2 linked regions of the Canis lupus familiaris genome follow. The protein of the gene in region 2 binds, or shares a complex with, the protein of the main gene of each other region. Links are inferred from orthologs where the notes say so. Each region holds a gene or a part of one and is shown on either strand. Other genes may lie near its edges.

The links.
Region 1: the proteins of MMP2 (region 2) and TIMP2 are in contact, whole or in part, in a crystal structure (PDB 1GXD), measured with the Homo sapiens proteins. The link is inferred for Canis lupus familiaris from reciprocal best matches to the Homo sapiens genes MMP2 and TIMP2. Residues at the interface, in NP_004521.1 of Homo sapiens: Trp574, Lys576, Asn577, Lys579, Tyr581, Phe588, Arg590, Lys595, Asp599, Phe602, Lys604, Ile606, Ala607, Asp608, Ala609, Trp610, Asn611, Ala612, Asp615, Tyr636, Leu638, Leu645, Lys646, Ser647, Val648, Lys649, Phe650, Gly651, Ser652; in NP_003246.1 of Homo sapiens: Ile162, Pro163, Cys164, Tyr165, Ile166, Pro169, Leu173, Met175, Val178, Thr179, Phe191, Arg196, Asp198, Ser200, Cys201, Ala202, Trp203, Tyr204, Arg205, Ala208, Lys211, Gln212, Glu213, Phe214, Leu215, Asp216, Glu218.

The regions. Positions count from the first base shown.
Region 1 is NC_049230.1:3,400,606-3,404,412, reverse strand, and holds part of TIMP2 (metalloproteinase inhibitor 2 precursor), read right to left. Parts: intron 1,581-3,807; coding exon 1,480-1,580; intron 1-1,479. UniProt on the Homo sapiens protein: Complexes with metalloproteinases (such as collagenases) and irreversibly inactivates them by binding to their catalytic zinc cofactor. Known to act on MMP-1, MMP-2, MMP-3, MMP-7, MMP-8, MMP-9, MMP-10, MMP-13, MMP-14, MMP-15, MMP-16 and MMP-19.
Region 2 is NC_049223.1:59,748,175-59,751,981, forward strand, and holds part of MMP2 (72 kDa type IV collagenase), read right to left. Parts: intron 1,842-3,807; coding exon 1,732-1,841; intron 74-1,731; coding exon 1-73.

The sequences.
Region 1 (3,807 bases), on a different chromosome or scaffold from region 2:
GACGCACACCCTCGGGCTGTGCGAGTCCATGGAGCTTCATGAGGATTTCTGCTGTGCCTACCCCAAGGTGACTAGCACAGGGTTTGGGGGGAGGGCGGAGTTTCAACAAGCAAACCCCAATAAAAAGGGGCCATCCCAGTATCCTGAGATGCAAAAGCTCGGCTCATCCCACCCAGGGAAGGTGAGGCCGACGGTGACAACAATGCGCCGTCACCGAGACCTCGCCATCTTTCACGGAGACCAAACATGCTTCTTGGTGTCAACACCTGCCTCTTCAGGACGCCCCGATGAGGTTGCAAGAACAGAGACGTTCTCTCTCCCTCGCGTAGGGACTTAGGCCCCGAGAGAGCAGGTCGCCCCTCGGATGACACGGATGCAATGAGTAAGCATTTCGTGGACCTCCTGATAACACGTGTTCCCCGCTTCTTTGTATTTTTGTAACACAATTAAACACAGACAGCGGGCGGCCCGGGGGCTCGGCGGTTTAGTGCCTGCCTTCACCCTGGGGTGTGATCCCGGGGTCCCGGGATCGAGTCCCACGTCGGGCTCCCTGCATGGAGCCTGCTTCTCCCTCTGCCTGTGTCTCTGCCTTTCTCTCTCTCTCTCTCTGTGTCTCTCATGAATAAATAAAATCTTTGAAAAAAAAAAAAAACACAGACAGCGACAACTCCTGCCTTTATGAAGCCGTCTCTCCAGGGACAGCGCCTAGGACGTCCTCCTCCCCTGGGGACGGAGTTAGTGACTGAAACAAGATCGCCTTCCTCCACGGCCGGTCCTGTCCTTCCAACCTCGTCTCCCACCCCGTCTCCTCTCCAACACGAGCTCCTCGCCCTTGAACATGGACAACGTTCTGAAACAACTGACCTCCCCTTCCACCTCCCCTTCAGTGCTCAGTCCCCACGCCTGCCCGTCCCGCTCCCACCTGGCGGATCCCCTCCGCCACTGGCCAGGCCGTGGGCTCCATGTCCTCCTCGGGGAAGCCGGCCCCCACCACACCTGCCCACGGGACCCCTCCTTCCTCTTAGACTCGAAGGCTGACCAGGTGAGGGAGACCCCACGGCACAGTTTGTGGGAGTGAGGGCTCCCAGATGCAACGGCCAAGCTCTCGGGCCTTCGAACCTCGCACTGGCTCAGCTGAGGACGGGCACCCTCGGAATGTTCCACAGAAGCTCTGGCCACCGCTGTAACCGTGCTGAGACTCTGCCACAAATTTACTACCCACCAAAACGAAGAGGACACATTTCTACAATGACCTGGTCGACGGGAACATGGCAGGTCCACACAACTTTCCAGGCAGTCACAGATTAAGGAAAATCGGATTGACCTGTGGCTTGGAGCCCTCGAGTCTGCTCGAGGGATGGCTGTACCGAGTTACTCAAGAAGGCAGGACACCTCCTCGGGGGGTGGGGGGGGCCCAACCTTGCTCCCGGCCCTCCCGAGGCTCTGCCCAGGCAGCAACCTGGCGGTGGTGCCCGGTACCTTTATCTGCTTGATCTCATACTGAATCCGCTTGATGGGGTTGCCGTAGATGTCATTCCCAGAGTCCACCTCCTTCACACTGACCGCTTTGGCCCTAATCACTGCAAAACAAAGACAGGGAGGTGAGTGGAGCCACCACAGTGCTGTCCTGGCTCCGGGGCGGGGTGGGGGTGGGGGCACGATGAAGCCAGCCCCTTGCACGGTGTCAGACCCCACCCACGGCGAGGGGCAGGGGCGAGGGGTGAAGCTCTGAGACCCCTTCCAGTCCCAGGATTCTTCAGCAAGAATGTTGACAGGTGGGACACCTGGGTGGCTCAGCGGTTTAGCACCTGCCTTCAGCCCAGTGTGTGATCCTGGAGACCCGGGATCAAGTCCCACATCAGGCTCCCTGCGTGGAGCCTGCTTCTCCCTCTGCCTGTGTCTCTGCCTCTCTTTCTCTCTGTGTCTCTCATGAATAAATAAAGAAAATCTTTGGGAAAAAAAAAAAGAATGTTGACAGGGACCCAAAGCAGAAGGCTGGTGTCTCACCGGTAGCGAGGTTACTGGGTAGTCACTGATAAAGCTCTTTGTTGATGTCACGCCTAAGTGCTTTGGGGCTTTTTAAAATTCTCTCCAACGAACGGGTAGGCTGCGGCTGGGCAAGCAGATAAGCAAATTAACTGGGCCACAATCATCATATAATTAAGGATGGTGGCTTCCTACCACCCAGCCTCCATCCACAGCCTACTGCAAACAGGCTTTTCCAGGCTGAAAGCAGAGGGATAACCGCCTTCCAAAGAGGCCCCATCATAGTTAGGTTTGGGGGTCTTATATTGGAAAGGTCTATCCTACTACTCCTAATCTGTCCTAAAGGCGTCCCGGATAAATGTCCCACGGACGATGCTTTATAATGATACGTTCTGGGCAGCCCTGGTGGATCAGCGGTTTAGCGCCTCCTTCAGCCCAGGGCATGATCCTGGAGACCTGGGATGGAGTCCCATGTCGTGCTCCCTGCATGGAGCCTGCTTCTCCCTCTGCCTGTGTCTCTGCCTCTGTCTCTCAAAATAAATAAAATTTATTTAAAAAAATAGTAATAACACGTTCTATCAGGGGCATGACAGGCAAAGGGTCAGAGTGCTCGGCCCCCCCAGAGGCCATCGAGCTGGGTGAGGAAATGCTCACAGACCCCACTGGACAGAGGCCCAGGAAGGAGGCCAAACGGAAAGAAAACGGTCCCAGACCATGACACAAGGATGAAGGAGACGGGAAGAGGTCAGGCTGGGAAGGTTCGGGAACGTCCGCTCATGGGCCATGCACCACAGGGTTTCCTTCCTACCAGCAATTAAGCCAGGACCCGGACCCAGCCCGCGGCCTGACCAGGTGAGGGTCAGCGGGACCCAGACCCAGCCCATGGCCTGACCAGGTGACAGTCAGCAGGGCTCGGTCACTGGGGCAGAGCCCTCCCTTAATTCATTTCGAGGCTTATATCAGCGGGCACGGCCCATTTTAATGGCTTTAAAAGCTTTGCCCTCCACAGCTTGGCCAGCCGTGCGGGGTCCCCTGGGTGAGGGTTATGTGAATGCGGATGCAAGCCAAACAGAGCAATAAGGAACAGACGGAGCCAGGCACAGAGGCGCCTCCCTCCTCTGCCCCGGGTGCGGGGGCAGCTCATATCTTGGAGACCCCCACCCCCACCCTGGCCAGGGCCGTCTTCCCCACGACATGCACACGGATCCCATGTGCACCCACCACGCACCCCTGGCCCCAACCAGGCCCCAGAGGCCACCCCACCCCCACCCCGCCCAGCCCAAACCCCATTCTTAGGTCTCCTTCTGTTGGAGCTGAGTCACGATGGGCAGAGGCCGCAGGTTCCTGCCTCCCAGGCTGAGCCCGGCCCAAACCTGCAGAGCCACATCTAGGCAGTGCCAGCCAGGGGCCCAGGACAGAGGGCTCTCCCCTCGCTGGCAGGTCAGCCTGCTTGCAGTGACTCCTCAGGCTCCCACCCTTCTCCACCCCCAGCGCCAGCAGACTTTTTATAGCCTCATCCCTCCGGGCTCAAATGTCTTCCTCGGCCACCCACTGCCCTCCTCTAAAATAAGGACACCCCTGTGCGACCTGGTGCCAGCCGGCAGCTATCTCCGCTGCCCCAGCCACCCCCATCCTGCTGTTCCACAGTCCGGAAAGTCCTTAGAATCCGAACCTGCCCAGGGGTGTCCCCACCTCTGGACTCACAAGTCTCTTCTGGCCCAAATGCCATCTAACCTTCCCTGCCTGGAAAACTTCTATGCATCCCTCAAGACCCAGGCAAAATACCCCTTTCCTGTCTTGCTCTGGGAAATCCCGTCCTCC
Region 2 (3,807 bases):
CCAAATTTCACGCTTTTCAGACTTTGGTTCTCCAGCTTCAGGTAATACGCACCCTTGAAGAAGTAGCTATGACCTGGGATGAGAAAGAGGGGAGGCTGTCACCACCCCACCCTGAGACATGGAAGGTTCCTGGGAGCTTTGAGAGCCACCGGCCATAGGGCACAGGCTTTTCAACCAGAGAAGATCCCTCTGAGGCCAGAGGGAAGGGAATGGCTGGGGAAGTCCACTCCCTGAGTCCCTGTTTTTCATCTTGAATGGGAATTAAGATACCGACCTCTTAGAGCTTGTGGCGAGGACTACATCAGATAACATATGCTATTATGAGTATAAATAACAGCATTCCACTGAGCATGGGTACAAACTAAGCAAGTCCCAGAGACCAGAGGGAGCAAACTAGGAGGCTTCTCACTCCATCAGGCCTGCAGAGGGGTTTTATTTGGCTTGCACACATATTTTGTTTTGTTTTGTTCTGAATTCTAAGTTGCCAACACATAAACATCTGGAAACTTCATACGAAAATATACATTTCTTGCTTCCTCTTAAAACAGCTAGGATAGGGACGCCTGGGTGGCTCAGCGGTTGAGTGTCTGCCTTCTGCTCAGGGTGTGATCCTGGGGTCCCAGGATTGAGTCCCACATCAGGCTCCCCACAGGGAGCCTGCTTTCCTCTCTGTCTATATCTCTGCCTCTCTCTCTGGCTCTCATGAATAAATAAATAAAATCTTAGAAAAATAAAATAAAATAAAGCAGCTAGGATATCTAGCAGCACTGGGTCCCGTTCTTGCAGCAGCCTCAAGAAGCAGATGATTGTGAAGAAGCTATGTGCCTTCTGGTTCACCACAGACCCCACCCCTCCCTCCTGTCTGCCTTGTCTGCTTCACTCATTGGTGCTACTGGCCCAGCCCCTATGGGCTTTAAAATGTGTGACTCCTGACATCGATGATCTTGTTTGCCTCCTTTAAAAGCCCGGCACGTGAGAGGGACTCCATAGATGTTTATTCTTGAAGAGAACCCTTAACCAGGCCCCTGGATTATACTTTGCTCTTTCTTGGACATGTGAGACCTTTCGCCACAGGAGGTTTGGGCCGTGTGCTTCGCATATGATAGGGGCTCAATAGAAATCTTTGTGGAATTTAATTGCAACCTCCTCTGAAAAGCCAAACTGGACTCATTCCCAGGACCCTGCAGACCTCACAGAAGCCTCCTCAAGAATATGTTTTTCCAACCCCAAATCCTATCCCTTGCTGACACTTGGTTGTATTTTACTCAGCGAGGGATGGAGTTGAGTGGGACATCTTTGCCACATCAGCAACAGGGCATGACAAAGTTTGTCCTGTCTCAAATGGAGCCATCCTTCTGCTAATGGGAGGCAGTCACAAGGCCTCCTGTGGAACCTGAAAGGGCCTGGACCAAACCCCAGAATGAATGCAGGGCACAGAGCCATATTTCTTGTTCCAGCAGGCCTCCTGCCCTCCCCTTCCCTGGCTCCAGGCCCTGCAGCTGTGAGAGGCCTTTCTGGGTCTTACTGCCTGGAGCCGGCTGAGTGCGCAGAGGTCAGGGGTCTGGATGCCTTCCCAGTACTGGGCTGAAGGGGCTGATTTGTTCCCCGCCCCCGCCCCAGCACCACTTGCCTCCCTACACAATGAGGGAGTGTGTGCTTGTGGGGAGCTGGGCCCTGGCTGGGGGTGGGGAGGCCTGTCCTAGAAAGCGGACAGGGCTCTGGGCAGCTCACCACTGCCTTGCAGGTCCACCACGGCGTCCAGGTTATCCGGGATGGCGTTCCAGGCATCTGCGATGAGCTTGGGGAAGCCAGGATCCATCTTCTTCTTGACTTCATTGTATCTGCAAGCAAGCGGATCTGAGGGACCAGTGGGACCTCCTGGAGGCCAGCCCTCCTCCCACCTTGATGGGAGGGTCCAGCCCAGGGAAACCAGCCCTAGCCCTGCCTGGAGGCAGCCGGCTGGAGTGGAAGGCCAGGGAGTCAGACTGGGGTCTGGATCCCAACTCCACTACTCATTATTAATTACGTGACTTAAACAGTCCCATAAGAGCAATCTTGTGATTATTGCTAAAGTGTAACCGGTGTATTAACCACTTTCCATATACTTTCTCAGTCAATCCTTGTGACAATCGCAAGGACACAGTTATTACCTTAATACCAATTTTACAGGCCAGAGGCTTAGAAAGGGCACCCAGCTTCCAAGGAGTAATCCAACCCAGGCCTGTCTGGCTCCAGGGCTGTAAATTGCTTTCCAAACCTCCACTTTACCAACTATAAAATGGGGTTGTAGTTAATGTTTTTAATTGACATATATAAGAATTGAAAGAACATATATGCAAAGTGCCTATCTCCATATCTGATACTTAGTAGATATTTGGGAAATGTTAGTCCCTTTACAAACTTCTGATCCCTGCTGTGGTATGAAGAGCACTGGACTAGGAACCTAGGGACAAATTCCAGCCTTAGCAACCTTTCACTGAGAGGCTTTGGACAAACTGCTGCTTCTTTATCCATCACGTGGAGGTAACAATCTACATCCTGGGAGATGATCTCATCTGGGATGGCCAGGTTAACAGTGCAGGTATGTGGGTGGAAGCTCACTTAGTCAGGGGGCAGGCCTCCCGCCACTGGAGTCCCTACTGCTGCTAACAGGGTGAGTAGTTATCCTGGGCTGTGCCTTTTATCCAGGTAGTTACCTGGGGTATTAGCTGGCATATTCTTCTTCCTGGCTAGCAATGTCTCCATCTTTTTCAATTTGGGGAGAATTTCTTAAATGCTAGGCTCACTTTGATTCCTTTGCTTCTCTATTTACACTCAACCTATTATTCCCTAAATATTTAATGAGCTCCTCCTCTCTGATTGTCAGTGGATATTGCATTAATCAAGATAGTGCTCGCTTCAACAGCATATACTAAAATCAAGATAAAGTCTTGCCCTTGTGGAGCTAACTTTCTAGACAGATCCATGGTTGAATGCCATTCTAGTGACAGCCAGGCTTTCTTCTGCTGTGCCTCAGAGCGGATCCTCTTCCCCACGGCCACCCCAACACCACAATAATTTCTCCTGTAAGTTCCCTTCTCCAGGGGGGTTCGCTTCCCCCTTTCTCCGTCACTCTGAGAAACTGCCAGAAAAGCCTTCCTTGATCCCAGCTGCATCATAAGACTGCTTGCAAAACCTAACATGCTTCCTCGTGACCTGGTGTACCAAAGCCAAGTTTGCAGCTCAAAATCCCAGCCCTCCATCCACATCATCCACATGGCCTTCACTGAAGCCCCACCCCCGACCCAGAGCTATGTGCCCTGTGTTTGCATCCAGCCTAGCCACAGAGGGTGGGCAGGGCAGGAAGCCACCTCATTTTACAGATGTGGAAACCGAGGCTCAGGGGAGAGAACCAATTTGGTTCCAAGTTCTTTTCCTCTGGGAAGGGCCCGACATCATGACATCAGAAGGTGCTGGCTCTGCAGGGGCTCGAAGCTCTTCATTCGGCTCTCTGTCCCCAGGCTCCTACAGTGTTCCCTGCTGGCTGTCTTAAATGTTTCTTTCTCTGCGACACCCTGTACTTCCCCGCAGCTGTGGAAACTGGCAGTGTAGAGCAGGTGTTAAGAACGCAGACGCTTCCGCCCTAGCTTTTCTTCGGGTGTATCCTTGAGCCAACTTCAGCCTCAGTTTCTACACCCAGAAAATGGGGCTAAAGATAGTATCTACCCTACGTGAAAAATAAAGGCGAAATGCACATATGTCTATTTCCCTCATTCTACCATAAACTTTGCAAGGAAAAGTGTGACTATTTCTTGACCACTGTCTTCC